Danio rerio: one gene and its partners. The protein of the gene in region 3 binds, or shares a complex with, the protein of the main gene of each other region. Links are inferred from orthologs where the notes say so. Each region holds a gene or a part of one and is shown on either strand. Other genes may lie near its edges. The genes, in order: dlg1b, lin7b, caska and lin7c.

What was found.
Region 1: the proteins of caska (region 3) and dlg1b are in contact, whole or in part, in an NMR structure (PDB 1RSO), measured with the Rattus norvegicus proteins. The link is inferred for Danio rerio from reciprocal best matches to the Homo sapiens genes CASK and DLG1. Residues at the interface, in XP_038955489.1 of Rattus norvegicus: Gly339, Ala342, Ala343, Arg345, Ala346, Val347, Gln349, Val350, Ser353, Leu354, Glu356, Ile357, Leu360, Thr361, Asp367, Leu368, Phe370, Leu371, Ser373, Val374, Phe375, Asp377, His379, Leu380, Thr382, Leu383, Leu384, Asp385, Leu386, Tyr387; in NP_036920.2 of Rattus norvegicus: Arg4, Asp7, Thr8, Arg10, Ala11, Leu12, Leu14, Leu15, Tyr18, Lys21, Leu22, Glu26, Asp27, Leu30, Ser33, Ile34, Arg36, Val37, Ser39, Ile40, Phe41, Ser43, Leu45, Phe46, Leu49, Ile50, Gln53, Glu57, Val58, Leu60.
Region 2: the proteins of caska (region 3) and lin7b are in contact, whole or in part, in an NMR structure (PDB 1Y74), measured with the Mus musculus proteins. The link is inferred for Danio rerio from reciprocal best matches to the Homo sapiens genes CASK and LIN7B. Residues at the interface, in NP_001271432.1 of Mus musculus: Ala405, Arg408, Ala409, Glu411, Val412, Glu415, Ile416, Tyr419, Glu421, Asn422, Asp424, Ala425, Glu427, Leu428, Ile431, Leu432, Gln434, Phe437, Ala439, Leu440, Leu441, Thr443, His444, Val447, Ala448; in NP_035828.1 of Mus musculus: Leu10, Asp13, Val14, Arg16, Ala17, Leu20, Leu21, Arg23, Leu24, Ser27, Glu29, Leu30, Pro31, Pro32, Lys34, Leu35, Ala37, Leu38, Val41, Leu42, Ser44, Phe46, Cys47, Ile50, Arg51, Tyr54.
Region 4: caska (region 3) and lin7c share a complex: the UniProt entries of both Homo sapiens proteins name them as parts of the brain-specific heterotrimeric complex. The link is inferred for Danio rerio from reciprocal best matches to the Homo sapiens genes CASK and LIN7C.

What each region holds. Positions count from the first base shown.
Region 1 is NC_133177.1:5,301,784-5,309,376, forward strand, and holds the start of dlg1b (discs large homolog 1-like protein), read right to left. Parts: upstream 4,101-7,593; coding exon 3,999-4,100; intron 1-3,998. UniProt on the Homo sapiens protein: Essential multidomain scaffolding protein required for normal development. Recruits channels, receptors and signaling molecules to discrete plasma membrane domains in polarized cells.
Region 2 is NC_133178.1:30,725,491-30,732,497, reverse strand, and holds part of lin7b (protein lin-7 homolog B), read right to left. Parts: intron 6,179-7,007; coding exon 6,060-6,178; intron 2,381-6,059; coding exon 2,309-2,380; intron 2,213-2,308; coding exon 2,003-2,212; intron 510-2,002; coding exon 346-509; exon of another isoform or gene 98-345; intron 1-97. UniProt on the Homo sapiens protein: Plays a role in establishing and maintaining the asymmetric distribution of channels and receptors at the plasma membrane of polarized cells.
Region 3 is NC_133184.1:35,294,296-35,302,089, reverse strand, and holds the start of caska (peripheral plasma membrane protein CASK), read left to right. Parts: upstream 1-2,705; 5' UTR 2,706-3,251; coding exon 3,252-3,310; intron 3,311-7,794. UniProt on the Homo sapiens protein: Multidomain scaffolding Mg(2+)-independent protein kinase that catalyzes the phosphotransfer from ATP to proteins such as NRXN1, and plays a role in synaptic transmembrane protein anchoring and ion channel trafficking.
Region 4 is NC_133182.1:31,964,904-31,972,665, forward strand, and holds the start of lin7c (protein lin-7 homolog C), read right to left. Parts: upstream 4,082-7,762; 5' UTR 3,964-4,081; coding exon 3,927-3,963; intron 3,102-3,926; coding exon 2,983-3,101; intron 1-2,982. UniProt on the Homo sapiens protein: Plays a role in establishing and maintaining the asymmetric distribution of channels and receptors at the plasma membrane of polarized cells.

The DNA of each region.
Region 1 (7,593 bases), on a different chromosome or scaffold from region 3:
GGAGTAATACACAAAGAGTAAAGAGGCTGTACGGGTGCAGATATTACTTAAATGTATCACGGCTATCAACCAATCAGATTCGAGAACCAGACAGAATTGTTGTATGATATAAAATGCATTAACTAATGAAACCATATTGTAAAAGGTGACCAAATATGCTGTGTTTTAGAGAACTCTCCCTTTTAAATAATACACAGTGAATTCCAATTGTTTCTCAATCCCAAGCAGAGCAGATGACATGTAATCCTATGGGCTGTACATCAAGGATTTGAGAAATTAACACCACGGTTTGAATAGGCATAATACGCCATACGGCACCATACAGGCAGTAATCATGCCAGAGTCTAAAGCGGCATCGTTAAACACTGCGTATAGTAATGATTTATTATAGTGACCACATAATCATTTTAATTATGCCACCATAAGCTTGATTAAGAAAAAAACGATATATAAAAACACACACACAGTATAAAAACATGAGACAGAATTAAATTAGTTTACCTTCTGCCATTCAAAAATAACAATTCAACCTACTGTTAAATTCGCACAATACCAAGCAATACACTTCTTCTGTAAGTGTTTACTGAGGAGGTTCTTGAGCTCCGTTAATGCCAGAGCCAACGCATTACTGTGACACATTCTCACAGCCCAAGCAGGCTTTACCCTGAGCTGATACAACAAAATGTGTGCATTCTCCATCAGAGAGAGTGATTACTGTGGAGCAGAGTGTTAACTACAGTCAGAGCGGAGATAATCCAATGACTGATTAAAAGAGAAAGAGCTCCAAAAGGAAAGAACAGCATTAAAACCAGCAGCCACTTCTACAGTTGTTAAGAAGTTTTCACAGAATATCTTTGGAAAGTTTTGACATGCTTTGATATAGTGAATCTGATCTAGAACTATTAAAAATAATAATTGTTTAACAATTAGGGTAAGACTTCGGAATGAAGTTGTACAACATGAACAAACAATGAACATTACAGTATTTATTTATCTGTGTTAATGTTAAAGTCAATGAATGCGACAAATGATTAACTATAGTAACTTAAAAAATGTAAAATTATAGTAACTTAAAAAATAAATTATAAAAAACTTTCAAAAATGCTGTACATGTATTGTTATCATGAGTTCATGTTTGTAAATACATGATGGTAAAGTGTGACCGTAATTAGCTTTTATGAGCTCATATTATTATGAGTTATGGTAGTGCATTGGGTACATTTGAGAGCTGTTGGTTCATGGTTGGTTCATGTTGGTTCTGACCTGGGTCATGCCCTGATCCTACTTACCTTTCTACACTTGATCAACCTAAACATCTAGACGCACGCACACGCACACGCACACGCACACACACACACACACACACACACACACAGACATAGACACAGACACACACAGAGACACACACAGACACACACAGACACACACAGACACACACAGACACACACAGACACACACAGACACACACAGACACACACAGACACACACAGTAAGTAAACGCCCAAAAGAAAGAACTTAATTAGCATATCGTCACCTTAGAATTATATAGTTCCATCTGACATTTTTGTCAAAATTGTGTTATTAACATATTCTTATTAAATGACAATGACTTATTTACATTATGGGATGTTTTTTTATAAGTTGTTTACATTTTAAGACTTTTTATTTACAAAAAAAATGTTACACACATACTGTTTGCTATGGAATGCAAAAACTTTGATGCTCAATATCTCAAAATCATTCAGAATGCAGATAGAACCTTATCTATCTGACGATATGTTCCCCAATAGCCCTTAAATTGTCTAGAGAAAGACAAGCTGTTGGTTCATGGGAACCAATTCTGGCCTGGGCCATGCCCTGATCCTACTTACCTTTCTACACTTGACCACCCTATCCATTTAGTCAAACACAAACAAGAAAAAGCCTAAAAGAAAGAACTTGATTAACACACCTTCCCCTATACCCCTTAAATTGTCTAAAGAAAGACAAGCTATTAGTTTATGGGAACCAAGTCTGGCCTGGGTCATGCCCTGATCCTACTTATACTTCTACACTTGATCATCCTATACCAGGGCTATTCAATTGGCAGCCCGTGGGCCGAACCTGGCCACCGAGGCAATTTATTCTGGCCCTCCAAATAGTGCAAATAAGACATGAAAAATAAATGTAGTTAATTCGAAAAATGACGCTATAGTTATGAAGTGACGTGCGCCAAGCAAGTGGGGCAAGCAGGATGCAATGATTAGCCGATTTCACTATTAACTGCACTTGAATTCGTCACAGTTAATTAATCGTAAAGGCTTGTCAACGCCGCATTTCTGTTGCATGGAACGAAACGAAACTGCTGCAACTAAACCAAGTTATGTCAAGTTGTCAACTGTGCACTAGTTTAAAGTTCCATGTATGTACACCGAGGCTAATACGCACTCACCGGATTAACTATAGCAGTGGCCAGTCCCATAACAAGTCTTTTCAGCTTGCAAGTTTGTTATTTTTAATGTAATAATATATGACAATATGTGCGCACAAGCGCAGCAACACACTTGCGTCTTTCTGGGTGCACACAGTAGAAAACATCTTACGGTGAGAGTTGTGCGTGCCTTTCAGTGCAATGTTAACAACATATATGTTAGACGAGTTATTATTAAAATGATTGTGCTGTATGTATGAACGCAGAAGGCAACAACGAGCCTGATCTCATGAGAAAACGTAAGTATTTTACGTTTTCCCAGTTTAGTGGCTAATTCGTACGAATTCGTACGAGTTCAGTCGTATGAAATGGTACGATCTTAAAAAGGAGGCGTGGCACCTAACCCCACCCCTAACCCCAACCGTCATTGGGGGATAAGCAAATCGTACTAAATTGTACGAATTAGAAAGGATGAATTCATACGAATTAGCCACTAAATGAAAAAGTTACGAATTGCCGTGAGATAGTGTTGCAACAACAGTTATTCTAAATAGCTACTTACCTCATATAAAGCTTGAATTTACATTAGACGTGATAACCGTGAACCCATGATTATTCTTTAGACTATATAATCGTACAACCATAATTGTGATGCAGTTTAAAAAAATAAAACATGAATGTGTCTTAAAGTAGAAAAAGCCTACTTGAGCAATGCACTGCTTTTGCTGTGCTCTGATATACAACATTTGAACATGTTTGTAAACAAGAAAAGTCTATTGTACAGTGCACTGATATTATGTAGTTTCAAAATACAACATATTCATATTTTAATGTAGAAAAAGCCAACGTGGGTGTCTTAAGGAGAAAATAAACAGCATATGGGCTCTTATATGCAGTTGTGTTATCACTCATAAAGCAAGTCATATCTCTCCGGCCCTTCATTTGGGATGCTTTTCATGAACCGGCCCCCGTGACAAACTAATTGAATAGCCCTGTCCTATACATTTAGTCAAACACAAACGAGAAAAAAACCTAAATGAAAGAACCTAATTAGCACACCGTTCCCTACACCCCTTAAATTGTCTAAAGAAAGACGAGCTATTAGTTCATGGGAGCCAAATCTGGCCTACTTATATTTCAACACTTGATCATCCTATACATTTAGACAAACACAAACAATTAAAAGCCTAAAAGAAAGAACCTAGCTGTCCTAACCTAACATAAATTGTTTAAGAAGAGACTAAAAGGCAATAAATCTGCTGTACGCCAACTCTCTTACATCTAGAAGACAACTCCTCTCATCTCATCAACTTTTCAATTATGTGTGCCTTAAAAGAAATTCAGTCCATGAACGTGTTATGCCAGATCTCTCTGCAAGAATAAGTCTACTTCTGAAGTCTGCTAGATCTCGAAGAGAACTCTTATCTCATCAAGTTGATTGCATGTGCCTCGGGAGTTCCAACTGGCAGCAGTACCAAGCATTTTGGCTGCCACTCTTGGCTACACCTTGATGTAAAGCTGGACAGACTCTCACAGACTGTCCTGTCCTGTGAATTAAGCGAACCTGAGAAGCAGCTCCACCACCCACCTTGCATCCGAACATGAGTGAGATGGTGCTGTTGGTGCAGGCCACTTTGCAGTGGCACAGCATGGGCGAGAAGCAGTCCAACTTCTTGATGCTGGGAGACATTTTCTCGCCGCTGTGGCAGCTGAGCCGATCAGCCAGCGAAGAGCCGGAGACTCGCCGGCGCGAGCGATACTTGCTCCTGCCTCTCCGGCCACCTCCTGCTCCTCCACCACCACCTCCTCCTCCTCCTGCCCCTCCACTGCTGCTGCTGCTGCCCGCTCTCACCATCCACCCTCATTCCTCGTCTCACTCCATCACGCCAGGGAAGGGACAGCCAGTCTGCTTCCTTCATCCAGCGAGTTTGTCCACACGCCCCCTTCTCCTTCACCGCTGCTCCGGTCTTCCTCAGAGCCTTTCGTCTTCTGCTTCACTGGCTTGCGAGATCCGTCCCTCCACCTTTCACAGCTGTGAGTCACGGTGGAGATGTTTGCACGGAGGCCTCATGCCGAGTGCATGCATCCGTGAAGGAACAGCTTTCGGGACCTTTTGGTCATCGCCAAGAAGACACCACACAACTGCTGCGTTCCCCCAAAAGGGAAGGTGAAGAATGCCACAGTTTGAACAACGCAGCGAGTTGTGAGGAGAACGCGGGAAGAGGAGGAGAGCTGTGAGGGGAGGGAGGGAGGGATAAAGCTGTTGCAGCGCGTGGGGTTTGTCACATGGACGTCGAGTTGGGTTGAGTCTCTCTCTCTGTCTCATCCTCGGCGTGGGTGCTCTACGTCACCCAATACATTGAGGGGAAGGCAAAAAAATAAAAAGCCAAGGCAGTAACAGTGAGATGGAGAGGAGCAGCAAATGAACATCCTCAGGGAGCACAGCCTCGCATGCAGGAGGAGGAGCGATGTTGGAGTGACTTACAGCACGTTTGCACAGTGGAGAGAAAAGGGGGAGGGGAGCGTCGAGCCTGGCCAATAAGATGACGGAATGTCATTGGCAGCTGACTGGACAGTGGATGTGACCTTCTGAGAATGGCTCCATTTCTTGATGGGATCCCTACGGTGGAGAGAGTGAGCTGGCAGAAAGATGCTTAAGCTTAATTTCTCCATTACTTCTGATTTGATTAGGCCGACCATGAAATGGTCACATAGGACAAACCGCTCGGGTCACTGGCTTTTAAGGGGCAGTGATGTTGGGGGAGGGTCGGCAATGACAAAGATCTCTGCCGTGACTTTGCTTTAGGAAATTTTTAAATCAGCAGTCAAGCTAAGAGGGATGTGGCAAAATGCTGCCATACTCGCTAATCTAATCCTCACCGCTAATAAGATCCTGTTCTCGCACAGCGTGCACATGCATCTGCTATATTCTGCCAGTGAGGCAATCCTCAAGGCCATTTAATATTAAACATTTTGGACATTTTAGTTACTTCTCTCATGCTGACCTACATAACGTGCAAAAGTCAAAGACTCTGAGCCAGTAGTACTACTAACGTCAATTACCCCTATTTTACGTACAATACTTGGGTTGTCAGTGTGCCTCACTGTCCAAAGTGTGACTCAGATCCTGCCGTTCTCGTAATGTATGCGTCACTCAGCGTGCAACACGACTAACACTGGCTAAGTCCATTCAAGGATCATCCGAATGCTCGTATGAAGCATCACGAAAACGCTCATGACACGACTGCACGGACATATAAATATAGTTGGTCTTACTTTAGAATACTATTTTTGTGGCAACAATTTCTCAATGAACGTCACAGAGTCATGAATCTGAGAAGGGAATAGAGTCAGTTTCACAAACAAGGTTTAAGGCTAGTCGAGATTAAATTGCATGTTTGAGCTGTCTCAACTCAAAATAACTTTCAGAGAGATGTCTTAAAATCTGTCAGTGTCATTTTTTTGTCTCCAGGCGCACTCCAGTAATATATTTTTCTAAGGCCATTTTAATAAATGTGGCTTAAATAGCCATGGTCCTGGCTTACTCTAAGCCCTGCTTGTGAAACTGGGCCTTAAAGTCTTAAAGGTGTATAGTTCTTCACCCATCAAATTGGCATACTCCAAATAGAGCTGGGCGATATGGCCAAAATGCAATCTCTGTAATTATTTTCCATATTAAACGATAACGATATATTTTGATATTAGTTGTTTAATGATTTCAGATTCAAAAGAGTACCCCAAAAATGACTGAAGCCAAAAAAATTAAAGTTCCATTAAATGGTATAACATGCACTGTAAAAAATAAACGTTATTTTACTGGTAATTGTCTGTATTTTTTACGGAATTTTTCAGTTTTTTCATTATACAGTGAAATACCTGGTGTTTTAAAGATATGTTCTATAAAAATTCTAACATTAAATGTACAGTTATTGCTTGTAATTTGGTATTACAATATTTTTCTGCTTTTTAAAGGAAATTTTATGTATTTTTTAGAGAGTAACACATAACTTTACGTTAACACTTACAGATTATTTCTGGAAAAAAAAATAGGAAAACAAAAATATAGTCAAACTGTTCTTAGTGAAGATAGTAAACGTATGAAGATTAACAAGAGGTTAACAAAGTAAAATAATAGCCTGTTGTTTGTAGGCTGCATATAATGCATGCACTGTAAACTGGGAGATGTTTATTTTACTACTCTAACAATGTTGTTATGCGGACTGTGACAATCACCAGTGATCTAGCGGCTGTGGGTTGCTGGAAAACTACATACGTTACTTTAACGAACTACAACTCCCAGCATGCACCTCGCACACCCGGGTTCCTAATTCTGACTGATTACACACACAGTCAGAAAATCGTTATGGACTGATTTCAAAGACTTTAAACTCAGCACACACACACACACACACACACACACACACACACACACATCGTTTCTCAGTCTTAAAATGTTTAGTTAGCATTACGACGCAATTTCCCTTACCTTGCCATGTTTGAAACCTTTACTTTGTTATTTTTTTGTTGCCTTTATGCTAGGGATTATCCGTGCACCTATTTGATCCTGTTTCATCCTTTAATTGCAATATGATTCTGTTAATAAACTGCTATTTGATCCTCAACTTTGTTGTGCAGGCATCCTCATGACACTAACCTTGTTTTTGTTGTTAAACGAGGAGCAAATGTGTTATTTGTAAACAAGAAATAAAAAATACATGTCAAACTATATTATAGTTTATAGTTATATTTGCAGTGTTTTATGACAACAGCAATTATTTGTACCTAAGCCTAAAAATGTTAAAAATCGAAAAATGTCTAAAACACACTTAGAGATTTCATGCACAATTACATAAATAATCTGTATAATTACATTAATAGCCTGCATAATTACAGTAATAATCCTTATAATAATATTATCTGTATAATTACATTAATAAATTATATATTTACAGTAATAATTTGTACATGATATTGAATGATAGTAATAATCTGTGTAATTGCAGTAATAATTAGTAAAATGGCAGTAATAACCCGTACAATTACAGCTAAAATCTGTAAAATGACAGTAATAACTTGTAATTATGGAACAAGAAATTACTGTTTTTCTACATATTATCTACATTTTTTTATTCTGACAGTTTTTTTTTTTTTAGTTTTTTTTACGGGGAGTTTTTCACAGTGTA
Region 2 (7,007 bases), on a different chromosome or scaffold from region 3:
TTTAAGTGATACCACCAAAATGCAAAATTTTAAGTTATGTTTAGTCAACTTTACTTAATTGTTTAAGTAAAGACAACATTAGGGTTTTCAGTGTGGCTTCGAGTGTGGTCCTAAAAAATCTCAGTTTCAAGGACCGTCTAGCCCTTCCACTTAGCCCTTCACCTTCAAGCTAAATAGAACTGGGACACCCCTATCTCTTCATGCGAACGGAGGGATAAGAGGAAGGGCTAAGTGGTAGAATTGGAATTGGGCCTATAAAAAAATGCACATTTTGCCTCAACAAAAAAAGAACAAATGTCTTCAGCAACTGATCAGAAAAACGAGTCAGGGGAAAGTCCCACTCACGAGTAGCTGGTGTGTTGCTGGCGTCTTCTGGCACTTCTCATCTTCTCAAACCTGGCCTCCATCTCTTCTAGGACTTTGGGGGTGTAACGCACCACCAGCTTCACTGAGCCCTGCGCAGCCTTCAACAGCTCTACAGCTTTCTCGTGGTGTTCACCTTCAACACTCTACACACAATCGACAAACAAAGACCATTTGCAAGTCTACAAACTCACTTTCATTCTCTCTTTGTTTGGTGTAGCTCAACAAGAATAAAAAACAACTTTTGTTTTGCACTTGTTTTAAGTACCAATTCCTACTAATAACTTTTAACCTACTACTGGCCTGTTACTAAGATATTGACTGTTTGTTTGTACTTCTACAAGCCCAAACCTACCCAATACTCATTTTAATATTAACCTAATTATTAATAAGCACAAACTAGTAGTTAATTTAGCTAAAAGTATTAGTTAAAGGAAATCTCCACTTTTATTTAACAAGTTACCAAGTGTTTAACAGTTGAGTTTTACTATTTTTTTTTATTCATTCAGCAAATCTCCGGGTTTGGTGGAAGCACTTTAAGCTTTGAATAAATCATTGAATCAGATTAGAGATTAGCAGCATGCTAAAGTAAAATAAAATGCAATCAATAATTTAAAAACAACATTAAATCCTAGTACACTTAGCATTTACACTGTTTACACTTTTTAAAAACCGAATCTAAAGATATATATATATACACACAAACAGCTTTTGATCTGTATTTACAGAACAAACTGAATTTTAAAAAACAATGTTTTATACTGGGCTGAAAGCGATGTGCGTATGTGTGTTTACGTGATTATATTTTTAACAGTTATATCATTAGTTACTGATAAACAATAACTTGTAAATTATCAGGGTTTCTACAGGTTTCTTCAATTTAAATTTAAGACTTCAAGATCTGGTCACTACTGTAAATAGTTTTTGTATCAATGGAAGTTCATGTAAAGCAATGTTTCTCAACCATGTTCCTAAAGAACCATGAACACTGCAGATTTTGGATGTCTCCTTTGTCAAACCCATTACAGGTCTTTCAGTCTCTGATAATGAGCTGATAATCTGAATCAGATATGTTTGGTTAAGGAGACATGAAAAATGTGCAGAGCTGGTGGTCCTCCAGGAACGTGGTTTAGAAACACTGATGTAAAGGAATGTGTTGTTTAGTTTTCTGTCCCTGATTAAGGTATGTAATTTGGAGGATTTGCTGTAAAATGTCTAACAGCTGTTGTGAATTGTGTCTCTTTGCAATAAAAAAACTTTATTTACTTGGACATAGGAAAATGAATATTTGTTTAAAATTATTTAAGACCTACAACACAATATTTCAGTGAATTTACGATTTTTTAGGGTCTAAAATTTTGTTTCTGAAATTGTAGCCTTTTTAAGACCCGACTGACTCCCTGATTATAACATATAAATAAACAAAAAGTAAAAAAATAAAATAAAATAAAGCAGCACAAGATGATCGTTTTTCCTCTTTCAACACTTCTCTCCCACCTGATTACAGTTAGAAAACCTCTTTTCCAAATCAGAGGTAAAACAAGGGAGCTTCATGACAGTTGAAAAATCAAGGCCATGGTCTCTTACAAAAATCTAACGGCTAAATTATACATCTCAAAATGGTACTATGCCAACATACCACTCCATTAACAGAAAGCAGTTGATCTCCTCTCTTCAGGCCACCCTGTCGGTCAGCAACACCCCCTGGAATGACCCTAGAGATGTAGATGGGAGAGTTTTGTTCTTTTCCCCCCATGATGTTGAACCCAAGCCCTTCATCTGTTTTAGGGAGTTCAACAACTCTCGGGTGTGCATGACCTTCACTGGCGGCGAACGCTGCTACTGTTGCCTGAAAGAAGAGACCAGAAATTAGTTATGACATCTATGAACTTTCTAGTTTAACAGTTTTTTTTTTTGTTTGTTTGTGTTTTAAGTAAAAAGTTACCTTGGCAGTGGCTTGAGCTCGAACCTCAGGCCCACCTATAATATCCAACGTATCGTAAAGTTGCTCGTAGACCTATAAAAAAAAAAGAATGGGCCTGGATATTGAACAACATAAATGGAGTTTATAGTGAGATTAAAGCATTTCCTATACATATATAACAAACATTTTTACACTAAATACGTCTTTGCTCACTGTTAATTCATTTATGTTTATTCAGATAAAAGAAATATCCTACAATTCTGGCTCAGTTCATATTTAAATGTGCACACGTAATGGACAATGCACACATTAAAGTGTTGACATAAAAATGAAAATTATCTTATTAATTACTCACCCTCATGTCATTGCAAAGCCCTGAGGCCTTTATTCTTCTTCACAATAAAAATAAAGATATTTTATGTGAAAAGGTACATGTTGTGAATGCGCAATATACTGACACTGAGAAGAAACGGGTAAATTAAGTCGTTATTTTTTTTTTATGTGCGCACAAAAGTATATTTATAGCAGATAATATTATGATTGAACCACTGAAGGCAAATAGTCTGTTTTGAGAAAGTTTTTTGTTATTTTTCTGGAACGTTGCGTTCTATGGAGGATGAGAGAGCTCTCAGATTTCTTAAAAAATATCTTAACTTGTGTGCAGATGATGAACAAAGGTGTAAAAAGTTTGAAATGACATGAGTGCGAATAATTAATAACAAAATTTTCATTTTTTGGTGACGTAACCCTTTAATAGTTTACACATTTAAAGGGATAATTCACTCAAATAGAAATTCTTTCATTTACTCATCCTGTGCTTGATCCAAACATTTAAAGTTATCTATTTCTCAACCACATTCCTGGAGCACCACCAACACTACATGTTTTGGATGTCTCCTTTGTCTGCCACACCCATTACAGGTCTTTCAGTCTCTACTAGTGAGCTGATGATCTGAATCAGGTGTGTTTGGTTGAGAAGACATGGAAATGTGCAGAACTGGTGGTCCTCTAGGAACGTGGATGCGAAACACTGACTTATAATACTTCTATAGTATGTTTTCCCAACTATGAAATACCTACAATAAACAGTTTTTAATTTCTTCTTTTGTGTTCAGAAGTGAGAAACTCAGATTTGAAACAAGCAGAGGATTAGTTAAGGGATGACAGAATTTTCATTTAGGGGTGAACTGTCAGCTATGACATTTGCTATTGACTTTATTTGATGGAATAATTTACAAATCAGCAAATATTGCAAAATAATACCTTAACATAACACAAGACCTTCATGCTATACAGTGGGATCTTGATCACTATCTGATGGTTTATTTAGTGAATTTGACAATGTGATCAGTGGCTTTTATCACCATAAACAAGTGAACATGCAGTGCATCCGGAAAGAATTCATAGCGCTTTAGCTTGTCATGTTACAGCCTCATTCCAAAATAGATTAAAGTAATTTATTTCCTCAAAATCCTACACCAAATACCCCAAAATTACGATGTGAAAAAACATTTTGAAGTTGTTGCAAATTTATTAAAAATATAAAACTTGAAAAATCACATGTACATTAGTATATACAGCCTTTGCAGTGAAGCTCTAAATTGAGCTCAGGTACATTCTGTTTCCACTGATCATTCTTGAGATGTTTCAACAGTTTTATTGGAGTTCACCTGTGGTATATTCAGTTGATTGGACATGATTTGAAAAGGCATACACATATAAGTCTACATAAGGTCCCAAGGTTGACAGTGCATGTCAAAGCACAAACCAAGCATGAAGACAAAGGAATTGTCTGTAGACCTCCGAGACAGGATTGTCTCGAGGCGCAAGGCTGGGGAAAGTTATAGAAAAATTTCTGGTGCTCTGAAAATTCCAATGTGCACAGGGGCCTCCATCATCTGTTAGCGGAAGAGGTTTAAAACCACCAGGATTCTTCCTAGAGCTGGCTGGCCATCTAAGCCGAGTTATCGGAGGAGAAGGGCCATAGGGAGGTGAACAATAACCAGAAGGTCACTCTGTCTGAGCTCCAGCGTTCTTTTGTGGAGAGAGGTAAAACTTACAGAAGGACAACCATCTGTGCAGCAATCCACCAATCAGACCTGTATAGTAGAGTGGCCACATTGAAGCCACATCCCGTCTGGAATTTGCCAAAAGGCATCTGAAGGACTCTCAGATTTTCTAAGAAACATAATTCTCTGGTGTGATAAGACAAACATTTAACTCTTTGGAGTGAATGCCAGGCGTTATGTTAGGAGAAAACCAGGCATTGCTCATCACCAGGCTAAAACCATCCCTACGGTGAAGCATGGTGGTGGCAGAATCATGCTGTGGGGACGTTTTTCAGCAGGAGGAACTGGAAGACTAGTCAGGATAGAGGGAAAGATGAATGCAGCAATGTACAGAGACATCCTGAATGAAAACCTGCTACAGAGTGCTCTTGACCTCAGGCTGGGGCGACAGTTCATCTTCCAGCAAGACAATGACCCAAAGCACAACGCCAAAATATCAATAGAGTGTCTTCTTAACAACTCTGTGAATGTCCTTGAGTGGCCCAGCCAGAGCCCAGACCTAAATCCTATTGAACATCTCTAGAGAGATCTGAAAATGGCTGCACAACGTCGCTTACCATAAATTCTGATAGAGCTTGAGAGTTACTGCAAAGAGGAATGGGTAAAAGTTCCCAAAGACAGGTGTGCCAAGCTTGTGGCATCATATTCAAAAAGACTTAAAGCTGTAATTGCTGCCAAAGGTGCATCAACAAAATATTGAGCAGAGGCTGTGAATACTGATGTACATGTGATTTTCAGTTTTTTTTTTTCACATTTTCAACAATTAAAAAAAGAAGAAGCTTTTTTCGCATTGCCATTAAAGGGTATTGTGTGTAGAATGTTGAGGAAAAAACAAATTTAATCCATTTTGGAATAAGGCTATAACATAAAAAATGTGGGAAAAGTGAAGCGCTGTGAATACTTTCTAGATGCACAGTTAAATAGATATCAGTTCTGATTGACAGAGACTGAGATGTGCTTAATTTTACAATATGGAAAATAACAAAATCAATTACTAAAGTTCAACAAAAACTGATCATTCAATATAGACTCAAGAGGATTGTAAATATTTCACTGACAATTTCTTTTTAGCTGATCTGATATCAATTTCAATATACTCTCCACAAGGATCTCAGTTCATTTAACTTCTGTGATTAAAACAGATAATATTGGTCATGTTTTAAAATGTTATCATTACTTTTCCCATGCAGACGCCAACACGCCAATAATGTCAGCCACGTGGAGAGAAGGACACCTGATGGATATGTGAAAACTGATTTAGTGTGACAAGACTACGTAATTGTAAAAGAATGTGTTTGACTCTTGTGAATGAGAAGTGAACAGACTGGGCTCTTGCTACTGGAACCCATTATCACAAGTCAAGGAGTGAGACAATAAAGCTGAAGTGAGATGCCATCTCAAAGAGGCAGGAAAGTGAGTCATTCAGGAGGAGGAACAGTGGAATGCAGTTCTGCCTGAGAGAAGAAATAAATACTCATGTGGAGGAGGAAAAGGACAGTGCAGTCTTATGTGATACGCATTTCAAACCTCAACTGTATACCTAGTTACATATATCCAATTAGTGTTCTGTGAAATCAATACAAGAAAAAGGAAGGAATTATTACATTTTTCACAATTGAGCGACGCTCTAATTAGAAGCACAAGGATGAGTTATTACTAGAGTCAAGCATCCTTACGTTTGAAGGACAGAAGAAAGATTTTACCTCTCTGATGGCAGCACAGAATTTGCTCTGAAGGACTCTCTGGAGAGCCTGGAGTTTGGGAGGAGGAAGCTGACCGCTTCTTTGCAGTCTGTCCAACAATTCAATCACTCTGCAGACATCTGCAGGAGAAGTCAATATTATAGAAATATATAGATCAAAGACATGTTTGTGTCTGCAGCAAACGAAACAAATAAAAGTATATTATACACATAGAAAGCTTATCCAACTTTAATTTTCCAAATAATGTGAAAAAAATAAATGGTTACTTTCATTCCCAATAAAATAAATAACTGTAAATTAAACCATTATTTTTGCACAAACAGAAAGGAAGATATTATTCTAGATTTGTTTAAATTATTATAAAGTTCGGGGACACACAGTGAGTAGCTCTGTCACCTCACAGCAAGAAGGTCGCTGGTTAAAGCCTATGCTTGGTCAGTTGGCTTTTCTCTGTGGAGTTTGCATGTTTTCCCTGTGATGGCGTGGGTGTTCTCCGGGTGCTGTGGCTTCCCAGACAGACCAAAGACATGCGCTATAGGTGAATTGGGTAAGCTGACTTGACTAGTCTGTGTGTGAATGGGTGTATGGGTGTTTCGCAGTGATGGGTTGCAGCTGAAAGGGCATCTGCTGCGTAGAACATATGCTGTATAAGTTGGCAGTTTATACTAATGTGGCGACTCCTGATTAATACCAGTCTTATAGGGATAGTTCACCCAAAGTCAAATGTTATGCGTTTCCAACATTCCTCAAAATACTACCTTTGGGTTCAACAAAAGTCAAAGAAACTCATAAAAGTTTAACCACTTGAGGGTTATGGAGTAAAAAATTTTTTCAAATTATTGTAAAGTTCAGTGTGCATTTTCTGTACATCATTGTACAAAATACAAACGGTTTCCCGAAAAAAAAACAAAAAAAAACATTTGGATTTCTTTATATTTAAGCAAAATA
Region 3 (7,794 bases):
AGAGCAGTGGTCACCAAACTTGTTCCTGAAGGGCCTGTGTCCTGCAGATTTTACCTCCAACCCTAATCAAACACACCTGAACAAGCTAATCAAGCTCTTACTTGGTATACTTAAAACATCCAGGCAGGTGTGTTGAGGAAAGTTGGAACTAAACCCTGCAGGTACACCGGCCCTCCAGGACCAGGATTGGTGACTCCTGCCATAGAGGTTTAGCTGTTTACCATAATTGTTGAGTCCATTTTAAGAAAAAAGGCCAGTGTGTAGACTCTGGACATGAAATAGACAAAAAATATCTTAATTATTTTGATTTATTTTGTTTAATAGTCTAGCAAGTTATAATCAGGATGAATTTCATTCAAATTTACATAATGTGATCAGTTAAAATGCCAATTTGACACTAAGAAAATATAATTTGCTGTTGCTTCCATTAAGAAAAATGAATTAGTGGACTATCTAGAGTTAAAGACTAATAGCACAATCAAGTCATTTTGTTTAATCTTAGATGGATTTCTTGTAATATGAATAATGCATGAATAAAGTATTTTGTTAAAAGCAGCAGCATGCATCTTTCAGCAAGACTGCGTTTGTCAAGAGTGAACCAGTTTCAATTAATGAAAGAGCAAGAGTTTTCTGACTGCAGCTGATCTTAACAACAAAGAAAAGATAAGGCCAAGGAATCCAAATACAAGATTATATTGAGATTGTGTAGTTGCAGTACGATTTTTAATTTAGATCCATCGATTACTGCATGCTTGAATGTGTGGTAAGATGTAAAAACATGCAGGGGCTTTAAACATTTATTCGACATTCAACGATGACCCGCAATACTAAAACTCTTATTTACTGTGTTTAATATGGATCTATGGAGAGACATATATATCTATTAAATCACTTTATTTTTCATCTCTGTGGAAATATTTTAACATCTATGATTCATTTCTACAAAATACTATGCACTCCCCAGAATAAAGGTTAAAAAAAGCTGTCTATGGACGGTTCCTTTTCAAAAGGTACATGTTTCTACCGAAAGGATCTAAACAGTGTTTGTAAATTAGTGCATACATTTTGAAAAGTAACTCAGTTGCAGTTTTTGAACATTTATATGAGAGTTTAAACTAGGTTTAGTGTATAGTAAAATCATTTTGGTTACCATGTTGTTTAAAATGTCTATTTAATTTGCAGGTATGGTTCATTTTCATGTGGCAACATACACTCACTGGCCACTTTATTAGGTACACCTGTTTAACTGCTTGTTAATGCAAATTTCTAATCAGCCAATCACATGGCAGCAACTCAATGTATTTAGGCGTGTAGACATGGTCAAGACGATCTGCTGCAGTTTAAACCGAGCATCAGAATTGGGAAGAAAGGCGATTTATGTGACTTTGAACGTGACATATTTGTTGGTGCGAGACGGGCTGGTCTGAGGAGAATGACCGAATTCGATACAACCGAAGTATGCAGAAAACTACCTCTGAAAGCACAACACATATAACGTTGAGGCGGATGGGTTACAGCAGCAGAAAACCACACTGAGTACCACTCCTATCAACTAAGAACAGGAAACTGAGGCTACAATTCACACAGGCTCACTGAAATTGGACAATAGAAGATTGGAAAAGCGTTGCCTGGTCTGATGAGTCTCGATTTCTGCTGCAACGGTTCAGGCTGGTGGTTGTGGTGTAATGGTGTGGGGGATATTTTCTTGGCACACTTTGTGCCCATTAGTACCAATTGAGCATTGTGTCAACGCCACAGCCTACCCGATTATTGTTGCTGACCATGTCCATCCCTTCATGACCACAGTGTACCCATCTTCTGATGGCTATTACTAGCAGGATAGCACGGCATGTCATAAAGCGTAAATCACTCAAACTGGTTTTTTGAACATGACAATGAGTTCACTGTTCTCAAGTGATTTCCACAGTCACCAGAACTCAATCCAATAGAGCACCTTGGGGATGTGGTGGAACGGGAGATTCACATCATAGATGTGCAACTAACAAATCTGCAGCAACTACGTGATGATATCATGTCAATATTGAGCTAAATCTCTGAAGAATATTTCCAGTACCTTGTTGAGTCGATGCCACAATGGATTAAGGCAATTCTGAAGGCAAAAGCGGCTCCAACATGGTACTAGTAAGGTATACCTAATAAAGTGGCCTGTTAGTGTATATTTATTATAGCTACTCTTAAAGATATCTCGTATAGACTCATATTAAATACATCATATTATGGCGTATTATTGTGGAAATGAATGTTCACCTATGATGTTGTCTGCTTTATTATACAGTATGTGTATGTATTGCCAATAATTATGTGCAATAATGTTTTATTCCCCAAACCACTTTTCAAATATTTTTTTATTATTATTACATAAACACATGTCTACAAAAACATATAGTCAAGCTAGTAAGTCAACTAAAGATTTTCAAGCGCAGTTCAATACGCTTTTTATCTAGGTAAACTGTCGCTTCAGCCAACAAACTCTGAGACGCCTGGTCGTCATTTTGGCTCAACCGCACGTGCCAGTCTATGCGGGAATTCCGGAATACGAAAGTCCTGTCGGAGCCATTATGGCGTAAGGCAATCCAGTTTCATAAGCGCGAGTGGGAGGAGTTTGGGTTTTCTGGAAGCTGGGAGCAGCAGCGCTGGAGTTATGAGGGGGAACTAGAGCAACGGCGGCGAGCAGGGACAGTCAGCGTGAGCGCGCACAGGGAAAAGCCGAAGCCGCGCGTGGCTAGAATGAGTGGAATCAACTGAACTGCGCACTTTAACAACAGCTTGCGTTTGAACACACAAACAAACCGCGTGCACGTCTTCTCCCCCGGCTCGAGTTAGTTAGTTTAGCGTCTAAACGACTTAACCCACTTGGTTCCGTGACTTCGGCAGCGATTATCGTGGAGTTGTTTTTAACGTTTGAATTACCTCAGCCTCGAGTGGCGGGATTAAGGGGGCCGAGAGAGAGGGAGGAGAAGGTGGGGCAGGGTGAGTCAAACGGACCGAGCGCTCACTACTGTCCGCTCGCTTCCACCAAACCACCAAAGGATAATTTTTCCCACCCAAAACCGACAGGAATCAACCATTCGCCGTTCATCGGAATTTGGAGAGCGATACAATCGGCTGTCAGCGTTTCTTTCGCGGCGCTCATTCCAGGTACTCTGAAGTGTCTGCTCGGTAATCCTCTGATATTTACCATTTGGACGGATTTTGGAGGGGGAGTGTAAATTCCCCGCTCTTGTTGGACCATGGCCGACGACGACGTGCTCTTTGAAGATGTTTACGAGCTGTGTGAGGTCATTGGCAAGTAAGTCTCACTTTGATAATGACACACGGGTGAATGTCCATCTGTGACTCGAGCTGCGCCTTTTGCGTTGTGTGTGTGTGTTTGTCTGCCAGACGAGTGTTGTCATTGCGTGAAATTCAGACTGTTGTGCTGCAGTGCTGTGCTGTTGAACACATGATAGTTAGATTCAGTCGTAACTCTTTACAAACTGCATGTTGTCTGAGGCTGGAGCAATGAGGAATGGGAGTGGCGAGTGTGAGAGATGAGAGAAGTGTACTTTGAGCGTTCGTGCAGGTAACGTTAGATGCCATCCACTACTATTGTTTTTGCATAGCTTCCTCTACTGCTGTCAGCGTTGATGTTTCTGCAAATGATTGTGTTTTGGTGGATAAACCAATTTCGTGTCACCTGGCTTTCATGTGTTATCTAGAAATGTCAGGTTTGTGCTTGCAGTCTTGTTCGTTTGTAGTTGTTACTGGTATTGACCACTATACCTGTACTTTACGTGTGCTGAGAGTTCTAGCCATTATAATATTGAGGTAAAGTGGGTTTCATATTCACATATCTGTTTATTTTAATGGTCATTGTATTGTTTACCACGCTACTTTGAATATTTGCTCTGAAATCGCATTTAAGTATCACCACACAACAACATCAGCACTGTTTAATTGACTGAACAATGTTGTACTTCAGTCATTGGCTGCTAATATGATTTCACTATTCAGAATTTGCTAATATTTTTCTGAAATTATATTATTAAGGACAAAGTCTGAATATGTAAATATTTGGAATATAAAGCAAACTTTACCTTAGTATTATAAATAGTTGTTTGATGTGAGTATAACATAATAAATGCCTTAAATGCAATGCATTATTAGTATTATGTATGTGTATGTGTGTTTATAATATTCAATGTAATTGCTATTTAATAATTTGTGTATTTTATTTACTTTTTTAATGTTGTATTTATGTTGTAAAACGCATTACAAAAATATACAAAAATGACAACATAAACATTTAACAATAAGCAAATACACTGAAGAATATTTTTAACAAAATAAATAAATGAATAATAAAAAAAAAAACACTAGTTCAATCTTACATACAGAAAATACAGGTCTACAATTTGCTGACCACAACTAGTATCCAGTACCAAGCTGGGAGTTGGGGGTGGGGACTCAATCAGAAGGGGCAGGGTTAAGCTGAAAAGTTTGGACATGTTTGCGAAGGGGTTCTCACAGTTTACTGAAAATTGTGCTAGATTGATGAAGAGAGTACCTATTTTTTTCATTTATTTTCTTTTCGGCTTAGTACCTTCATTATTCTGGGGTCGCCACAGAGAAATGAACTTATCCAGCATGTGTTTCACACAGCGGATGCCCATGCCCTTTTAGCTGCAACCCAACACTGGGAAACACCTATACACACTTTCACACATACAGGGAGAACATGCAAACTCCACACAGGTATGCCAACTGATCGAGCCGGGGGTCAAACCAGCAATCTTCTTGCTGTGTGGCTGTTGTGCTACCTACTGCACCACCATAGCGCCATTTTCTCATTTTCTTTACTTTTTACATATTTTTATAGATGCAGACTTAAATATGAGAATTTGTTTTTCATTATTGCTGTGAAATGTGATATTTGACAGTTAAAACTTTGCTTTTATTTGGATTTTTTTCACATTCACACTGTAGCCTTGAAAGCCAGAGTGTAATATAATATAAAATAGTGTAATGTAATTAGGGCAGCATGATATTGAACAAATCTGTCATTTCGATATTTTGTTTTGCTGCGATATGAATACAGTTTCACGAGATGGCTTGAATAGCTCTATTTGTGTAAACAAAATAAAATAAATGAATTATTGATTGGTTGATTTTGGATGCCTGTGAATCATGTATTAAATTGCAAGAATAATTACAATAGAGTAAAGAAAAAATTTAAATAAACAGTTATTTATGGTTTTCCGGAGTGTCAAACAGTATTCAGATACAGACATTTAATAATATAATGTCAAATATTACTGTATAGTCTTTATTATATTTATAAATCAGTAAAATTTATCTTCAGTAAAGTTACAAATGTTAATGATAGTCACAATCCATTATGCTTATTAATTGAAATGACTCCTCAAATCTCATGCATTTTCAATGGTTGATCAACTATAATATGCAAATTAACATTGCAGATCCTGCGATGTGACTATTGGGGACACACATTGCGCTATTGATGCTGAAATGATATATTGTGCAGCTCTGAATGTAATATCTTAAAACTTTGTGTTTTTGTACATTTTATAATAAAATATAAATATTAGACTACATTGAAGCGTCACATTCTTGCAACAGTAGTAAAGTTGTAGACTGGCTTAAAGTAATAAGCGTTGAACCTTTTAGGGAATTAAGTTATAAAGATCTAAAACAATAAAGATTAAAGATGTTTCTGATTTAATGGTTTGTCGAGCCACACTACGAGTTTGGTGACTATTTGCTCTGATGAAGGGCACAGCCTTGCATGTATCAGCAGGTCTAGAGCTTTTCCTATTAAACTGAAACGAAGTACCATTTTTAGATTGTAGTCCTACTGAATGGAACATTCACATATTGTTTTTACTGTTATTGTTATGAGACAATCTGGTGTATTTGTATTATGTAAGCAGGTTATCTCCAGCTGTTATTGATGTGCAATTGCTTGCTTGAGTTTCAGTGTGGTGCATGTAAATTTGAAATGCCATGTAATTAGAGCTCTCAACATGGTACTCTGGGATTTCAGAGTTTGTAATTAAAAGCAGTTCTGTGCGTGTAACTGTCTCATAATAACAAAACAACATATAGTTAGGATGCATACGATGGCGGATTTTCTTAAACAGCTATGTTTAGGCATGTTTAAATGTATGGGTGAAAATTTAGCCAACAAAAATAAAGCAATGGAAAAACTGGAAAACCCTGTTGATGCCGTTTCCATTAGATCTTTGTCGTACAATGATTTATGTAGTAACCCTATGATTTGTACAACACAGGATGGATTTGTGAAATCCTGGAATAAAAACAGAATTAGCAGTTTAATGCAGAATGTTATGGAATTTAGGATATATTGAATGCATAAATCAGAAATGTTATTGCAATGTGGACTGTAGTGTCTGTAAATATTCATTCATTTTCTTTTCGGCTTAGTCCCTTTATTAACCTGGGGTCGCCACAGCGAACCACCAGTTTATCCAGCATATGTTTTACACAGCGGATGGCCTTCCAGCTGCAACAAATCACTGGGAAACACCCACTCTCATTCATACTCATACACTACAGACAATTTAGCTTACCCAATTCACCTGTACCGCATGTCTTTGGACTGTGGAGGAAACCGGAGCACCTGGAGGAAACCTATGCGAACATGGGGAGCGCATGCAAACTCTACATAGAAATGCCAACTGACCCAGCCGTGGCTCGAACCAGCGACCTTCCTGCTGTGAGGCGATCGTCGTACCCACTGCTCCACAGCGCCGCTCCATCTGTAAATATTAATCTAGTAAAAAACATTTTGAAATAATGAAGTCTGCATGTTTTGTGTGCAGTAATTGTGCAGTTATATCTCATACTCAAGCATGTGATGCCTGTGTTGTTGTTTTTTTTTAGCATCTGCCGTATCACTTTGAGTGAATGAAAACATCAGCCTCATCTTCAGACCTGCCGAGAGATTCACTCACAAGCATTTTCTGTTTTATGTGAGAAAACTACAGAAACTCCCAGTGTCTTCACAACAACCTGTGGAATCTACTTGAAGAATGTTTTTGTTGTACAGTAGTCCCTTGCTATAATGTGATTCTCCTTCCGCAGTTTTGCAGATTCGCAGATTTGCAGTTTGCAATTAAACATGCTGGGTTTTTTTGGTTTTTTTAAGCGTATTGTGTTCTGCGTCCTGATTGGCTGTAGACCATTGTCAATCAATCTTCTCCATGCTGTGTTTCCTGTACAGTACAGAACACGTTTAGCTTTCCAAAGTTACATAAACCTTCAAAGGCTAGCAATGTGACTGAAGTGCTGTACTGTATGTTCACAAGTTTTCTCGCCAACAAACCCCATATTGTTGACAACTGCACTGTCAAAGGCACGGTAGCAGGCTATTTTTAGAACGTAACCCCTCAATTAACGAGGGACCACTGTACAGTAAAAGTGATGATAAAATAATATAATACAATTATTTTATTATCAGAAATAAAAGGAAAGATGATAAAAAAGTGTAATGTATTTCAAAGGCCTCCTTCAAAGGAGTTCGGGGAAAAAAAACTTGAAATTCTTAATGAGTTTACTAGATAGTCATACGTCTGTGAATAGTTTTGACCTACTGTACTAGGGCTGCACAATGTATTGTTTCAACATCGAAATCGCAATGTTGACCAGGAACCACAGCTGATTGTGTTTGTGTTATTAAAGCCTGTGGTTGTGTAAGCGTTTAAAACATTCATGCACAAGAGATTATAATGTTTTTAACAAAGATTGATTGTA
Region 4 (7,762 bases), on a different chromosome or scaffold from region 3:
GCCAGTAGCTGGATGGGAGACCACATGGGAAAACTAGGTTTCTGTTAGAATTGGTGTAAGAGAGGCCAGCAGGGAGCGTTCAACTTGCAGTCTGTGTGAGTCCTAATGCCCCAGTAAAATTAAAGGGGACATTACACTGTCAGTGGGTGCCGTCTTTCGAATGAGACCTTAAACTGAGGTCCTGACTCTCTGTGGTCATTAGTCCCTCAATCGGCCCTTATGATCATGGCCTCCCAATCATCCCCATCCACCGAATAGGTTGTATCACTGTCTCTCCATTCCACCTATAGCTGGTGTGTGGTGAGTGCACTAGCGCCGTTGTTCTGTGGCTGCCATCACATCATCCATCATGCCGTCCAAACCCAACCCCCCACCCCCCCCCCCACCCCCCATTTATTATTTTATTTAGAAGCGATACAGCTTATTTTCTACCTTTAATATGAAAAACATTTAAAATAACTCATTTTAACTCCAAAAGTGTAAGTTTTTTATTTTCACTTTTTTACTTTTTATCCAAAAAAACATGACTGTTTTAGGCAATGTGTGTTTTAATTTCAGTAATTCAACTTTGATGTTAATAAATGATCATATATAGTAGATAGAGTGTGTTTCCTTCAATTATTTTAAAATTAAGTAATGCACCCTTCATTCAAAAAATCTCTCACTTGTTATATGGGAGTATATTTACTGTCCAAACCTTGTCCATGAACTATAAGGGCAAAAAAATAAAATAAAGTAATCGTTCATTAATAGTAATCGAGTTAAAATGTTCAATTAATCGAGATTTTAGGCCAAATCGCCCAGCCCTATGTTGAAAGATGAATATAAAGTTTATAAATGGACATGCATTTAAGATGAGTGCTGAGACCACATTTCAGCTTTTAACAAAAGCTTTATCGAACCTAATCTTTCCATCAGAAATCTGCTTTATTACAGGCACTCAAGCAAAGCAAAGAACAGCAACTCTGCAGCGAGCATCACTTGTGCAAAGAGTTCAGAGTCTTCAGTGAGCACGACAGATGACCAAGCAGCAGGGAGGAGACCAGTCAAGTGCCAACAGTCTTAGATTCACTACATGGGCAGCAGAACACTAGTTTTATGCCCAGTCTGAAACAGACAAATGGATTGATGCTATTTGTGGACATCAGAATCAATATCTAGTATCCAGTCCTTCTGCACAACAATAACTACGCATGTACTACACTAATGAGCACTTTGTCATAAGCATTAGCGATGAGAGCAATTTCAGTCATAACGACCGCTTGCATAAATGAGCTGAGTACTTGGGCAAAAAAAAAGAGAGAGGAGCTTGTGAGGATGAAACAACATCCGCCTGCTCAATTTTTTGTATTATTAACCTGTCAGTCTTTGGCACATTCATCACACCTTACTTTTTTTTCCCCCTCAGCATCACACAGCGGATCTCATTCACCAATAACGCCTTAGCAGAATACAAATAAGAGAAGTTCTTACCAAAACTTTATTTGGGCATCAATTTGTTATCCTTTTTATGATGTTAATGAATTGGTTGTACTTTAAAAACAGCAGCTGCATGCCCAGAGTTAGTCATTTGCATAAAACGCAGACAAATATCCATAGGGCTTTATGCACAACTTTTCTTTTATAAGCATAAGCCACTCTAAGCTAATAGATGGTGCTTTCTAAAGACTCACCTGTAATAACCTATTTAGATGCTATAAATATATTTTATGCTGATGTCTGGTTAGTTACACTGGAATATCAGACCCATTTTCAAATTAAATTCAGGAACGATGTAAAATAGACTGCCGATAACCCTAAATCTAAATTTTAAAACAAAATTTTTTATTACATTATAACATGCTCATTACATAAATAAATATGTAAGAATAGTTAGAGGCATTCATTATAAACATTATTTATAGGGATACTCCGATTGATCAGCCAGAGATCGGTATCGGCCATTAAACGCATTTAATAACTCAATCGGTACTCTCTGATCTGGCCGATCTCATGAACCGATTGCAAGTGTTTGTTGGAGATGTGTAAAAAGATTTGAATGACCTTGCATGCATTTAGGCCTTTTTACAAACAAAAACTAAAAGTTCTGTGTTTTTGACAATATTGAAAGTTCACTAAAACCTGTCTGGAAATATTACATAAATATATATTTTAACATGAATATTTAATAATATAACTTCTTGTAATATACTTACTGCAATAAACAGTAATGTATATGCCTATTTCCTTTTAGTAAAGAAGTAATGGATTTATAGTGGGGATTTTATCTTCTTATGCATCAAATATGCACTTCTAACTTTTTCTTTACTTATACATGTTGAATTCCTACTCCATCATTTGCATACAAATTGCATTGTTTGTCATTTTTCTTACCAATTTGTTTATGTTTTATCAATGATTTTGTATATACTGTATCTGCTTCTGACCATTACATGTTCACACCTATAAGAGGCTATAAGAGACATGTTTAAGGGATTATATGCAGCAGACATAATTTATTCTCTGGGGTAAGGAGAGATCTCTACTTAAGTATCGTACTTAAAAGCGAAAATGTGCTTAATGTAATATGAAGTTTGAAGCATTAGAATCTGTATTCTGTAACAGATTTGTTAAGGTTAATTCGTAGCATTAAAAAGGTAACCAATGCAAAACAATCCCCAGTTTTCAAACCTAGAAATTTTATAGACCATTTCAATGTGGTAATGTCATTGGCCAATGAACATTTTCTGCTTGTTATCAAACTATTTTATACCTGTAACGAGACAATTTATTCATAACTTGATGTTATAACAGCTATCGTAACACTATTTATCAATATGTGGAACATCTTGGACTCTTAGAATCTTTGGAAATTTAAATAAATTTTAATAAATTAAAAAACGGAAATATGTCAGGACCGTTGTTATTGTTTACATCCCTCAAAATTGTAAGAAGACGTTTAAATTTAACTTGAAAGCATGAATGTGATGTTGGAACACTTACCTCCCTTACGGCCTTGCAGAACTCGCTCTGCAAAACCCTCTGAAGGGCTTGCAGCTTCTGGGGTGGCACTTCCCCTGTTCTCTGGAGCTTGTCCAGCAGCTCAATGGCACGAGATATGTCTGTAGAATAACATATGTAAGACCAAGACCATGGATAATCATTTGCATCATGCCATCTGGAGATGTTGTCTGTGGCTAAACAGCTTTCCCTGATAAATAAAACAACAACACGGACCGCAGATAACATTTTAGCAAATCCTTTCTTTATGACAAATATTATTGTTGTTGTTGTTGTTATTAATATTGCGCCATATATTGTATGTAACGTTACTAGTATATAATTTAACGCTACCCAAAAGAAATAATGTTTGTAAATAAAAACTAAATAACTTAAGAATGAAATTATTTACTATTATAATGCTACTTACCGGTTTCTTCTTGATTTATACAGATACATGTAAATATTAAGATAAAAACAGACGGTCATAAATCAGAGTTTTAGCTGATCTACTAGCCTAAGTTAACTCTACTGTGTATTAAAGCTTCAGTTAAACTCAAAATAAGTTGCTGACTATTAGGACGTCACTGAAAGACTTTACTAACCCCTAGAAATACTCAGATGCACTGATCTCTGACCTGAAGTGCCCATGCTAACAGAGCTCACAAAAGATTAACGCTTTTGACAGCTACCCTCGTGTTTTCCTTTCGTTGAACGTAAACTCACCGCTTTAACGACATATAAATGTCCGTATTGCACATTTTATACGTTTTGTGAACGTAGTTTAGTTTATAGAAAAACGTGTATGATCTCGAACGGTGAATTGATGCTAGCTCTCTGTCGAGCACTAATCCATCCTCACGAAGTGACAGCGGGAGAACAAAAAGCGTGATTTACACAACATCCTGCTTCACGTACGGCAGAAAGTGTCTCGGTGCGCGGCTTACCTCTTTCCAGACGTACAGGTTCTCCTAAAGAGGCCATTATAGCCCTGGTTGTTGAGTTTGCGTTTGGTGAAAGCTCCAGAGTTGCGACTCGGCGGCTGTGTTTGTTGCTGTTAGCTTGCTGAGCTTAAGCGTTGTGGCTAATGCACCGAGATTACGGATGAGCGTCAAGAGCGTCATTCCTGCGTTGCTTCCGCGCAGACACTTTGCATACCATAACAAACTGACTTTATTATGATTTTCTCAATGAAATTGGAATATATTATATATAATTTTAACATTAAACAATATATTTAAAGCAAATATGGACTGTTCGACTTGGTATTTTGTTTAGGACATCGAGTTTGACTGCATAAATTATTACAATTCAGATAGTAGACACGTGTAATAGGGCTGTTTTACTGTCAGTAATATGTTACTGGACTAGTTAAGAAAATAATGTTATGGCAGCTATACAGTGATATATGGTCAACAACATAACCCACGCTCAATTGGATAATGTATTAGCCAATCAGAATCCAAGGGCAGAAATATTTCCATACATTTTAAACCATATGAATGAATAGTTTATTCCAGGTAAGGAATGCATTTATATATGATGATTTATTTATTTATTTATTTATTAAATTTTTTTTTTACAATTCAGACTACAACTGTTTATTTTAGAAATCTTTAGGCACACTTTAGGGTATTATTTTTGGGTTATTTTGACATCAGATGATACATTTAAAAAACTTTAACAATGTTATCACATTACTATCAAGAAATATATGACTGTGTTTTCATTGTTGGTTCTGTTATATTAGTTACATGAAATATGTTTACTTATATATTATTTAAATAAAAATTATTTGTTGCTAATGCTAAAAAATGTTAAGATTAATTAATGCTTTAAAAATGTTTATTTTGTTGAAGTAATTAATGATAACAAATTACATATTTTTGTAAAACTATTTTTCTTAGAAAAAACATTTATAGAGGATACAAATACATATATATGACTTTGAAATATTAAATATTGATGACCAAACGGCACGTTTTTTTTTTTTATCAAGCAAAAATAATTGTTGTACTTTTGTATTTTTTTCTTTTTTTTTATATTTCCCAAATTATGTTTAACAGAGCAAAGAAAGTTTTACAGCATGTCTGATAATATATCTTTTTCTGGAGAAAGTCTTATTTGTCTTATTTTGGCTAGAATAAAAGAAACTTTTATTTAAAAAAATAATAAAATTTAAGGTCAAAATTATTAGCCCCTTTAAGCTATATATTTTTTGATATACAGAACAAACCATCATTATACAATAACTTGCCTAATTGCCTAGTTAAATTAACCTTGTTAAGCCTTTAAATATCACTTTAAGCTGTATTGAAGTGTATTGAAAAATATCTAGTAAAATATTATTTACTGTCATCATGGCAAAGATAAAATTAATCAGTTATTAGAAATGAGTTATTAAAACTATTATGTTTAGAAGTGTGTTGAAAAAATCTTCTTTCCATTAAACAAAAAATGGGGAAAGATTTTTATTTTATTTTTATTTATATATATTTTTCAAATTATGTTTAACAGGGAAAGGAAATTTTCACAGCATGTCTGATAATATTTTTTTCTTTTGGAGAAAGTCTTATTTGTTTTATTTAGGCTAGAATAAAAGCAGTTTAAAAAATTTTAAACACTATTTTATTTTCACCAAAATAAATCAGTTATTAGAAATTAGTTATTAAAACTATTATGTTTAGAAATGTGCTGAAGAAATCGGCTCTCCATTAAACATTGAGGAAAAAAAAAAAAAAAAATATATATATATATATATATATATATATATATATATATATATATATATATATATATATATATATATATAATTTGTATTTACTTTTTCCATATTCTCATTTTTTATTTGGACTGCCCTGCTTAAACAGTAATTTTATGAGTTTACTTGCTGTTATTGTGGAAAAAGAAACAGAGAATAGAGTGGCCTACTTCTGTAGCAAATGGGACAGGGCCCTGCTGGGTCTTACCAAGGACTACTTTGAACTGGGGAAAATCTGATCCTCACAAAAATAATGCAAGTTGTTTCTCAGATAAAATGCACCAGAAGAATGTTTTATTGTCCATTTCTTTATCTAGTCCAGTCACCATTGATTTATATTTTGCAGCTTCATATTTGTTCCTATAAGGTTAAGCAAACACTTACTCATTAAGCAAGGCTGATAGCTATTATTATGCTTTCATATCAATATCCTTGGGTACACAAATTTAATTTGAGTTGTGTTTCTGATAAAGGATGCACTTATAATCAGTTTTGACTTTCCGCCTGAGCATCCTTTATGGTCCTGCCCATGTGTCTCATGATGCAGAGATACTTACCATGAACAGATGAAACTCCTCCCTTATCTGTGGCAGTGTATCAGTGTCAGACAGATTTCTGTTCAGTTGTCTGATAACAACCTTTGAAGGAAAGCAGGTTTGTGTATAGGTCTGTGTCTGTGTTCAGGTGTATCAGATATCACGCAGAGTGCATTGGAGTGTTGACTTCATTGATCTATCCTACAGACAAAAGAAAATCCTAATCTCTTAGTGCTAGTGATGATTGCCTTCTCCCTCTGGACAACATTACATGAGAGACTGGTTTCCATAGAATTTACATATCAAGTCTTACCTGAGAACTTTCTAGAGTGTTTGTTGTTCCACAGAACACATCAGAATTTACATTGGATGGATGTGTTCGTCTGCATTTCTGGCTTTGAGATTTCACATTAGCTTGGTAATACGGATATAGACATACAGTTGAAGTCAGAACTATTAGCCCCCCTTTAATTTATTATTATTCTTTTTATATTTACCAAATGATGTTTAACAGGGCATGGAAATTTTCACAGTATGCCTGATAATATTTTCTCTTCAGGAGAAAGTCTTATTTATTTTGATTTGACTAGAATAAAAGCAGTTTTTAATAAAAAAAAATAATAATAATTTAAGGACAAAATTATTATCCCCTTTAAGCTATATAGTTGATAGTCTACAGAACAAACCATTGTTATAAAATAACTTGCCTAATTACCCTAACCTGCCTAGTTAACCTGGTTAAGCCTTTAAATGTCACTTTAAGCTGTAAAGAAATGTCTAGACAAATATCAAGTCAAATATTATTTACTGTCATCATGGCAAAGATAAAATAAATCAGGTATTAGTTATTAAAACTAATATGTTCAGAAATGTGTTAAAAAAATCTTCTCTCTATTAAACAGAAATTGGGGAACAAAGAAACAGGGGGGAGGCTAATAATTCTGACTTCAACTATATATGTTGAGAGGATGGGAAATAAATACTTATATACTGTAGTGTATATACTTATATCTATCATTATCCCTTTTGAAATCATATGAATGTAGGATCCAAAGTATGTTTGCCTGCGAGAGAAGATGTTCTCTGCACAGCATGTGCCAAATTTCGACCTGTAAAGGGAGAGCTCAAACTTTATTGACATTGGTTTTGTTTTTCAGTTGCCTATAGTAATTTTATTTCTTCAAATATTTCAATTTAATATTGCAAACAACTTCACAACATACAAAATGAATTATATTAATCCAGAACACATGTCAATGAATAAATTTTATATATATATATATTTTATATATTTTTTTTCATCTTGTGGGGATAAAAAAATAAACAGCAAAGCTTTGACAACAGCACCTTGACATAGTATGTATTTCCAACATTACCTTGAGAAGTTGAGGATAGTAAACAGACAGAGTACTGAGAGGAGGAAATCCTGTTACGGTTGAGAATGTAAACGGAATGTTTTGGTCGGAAACCGATTCCTTGTTTTCCC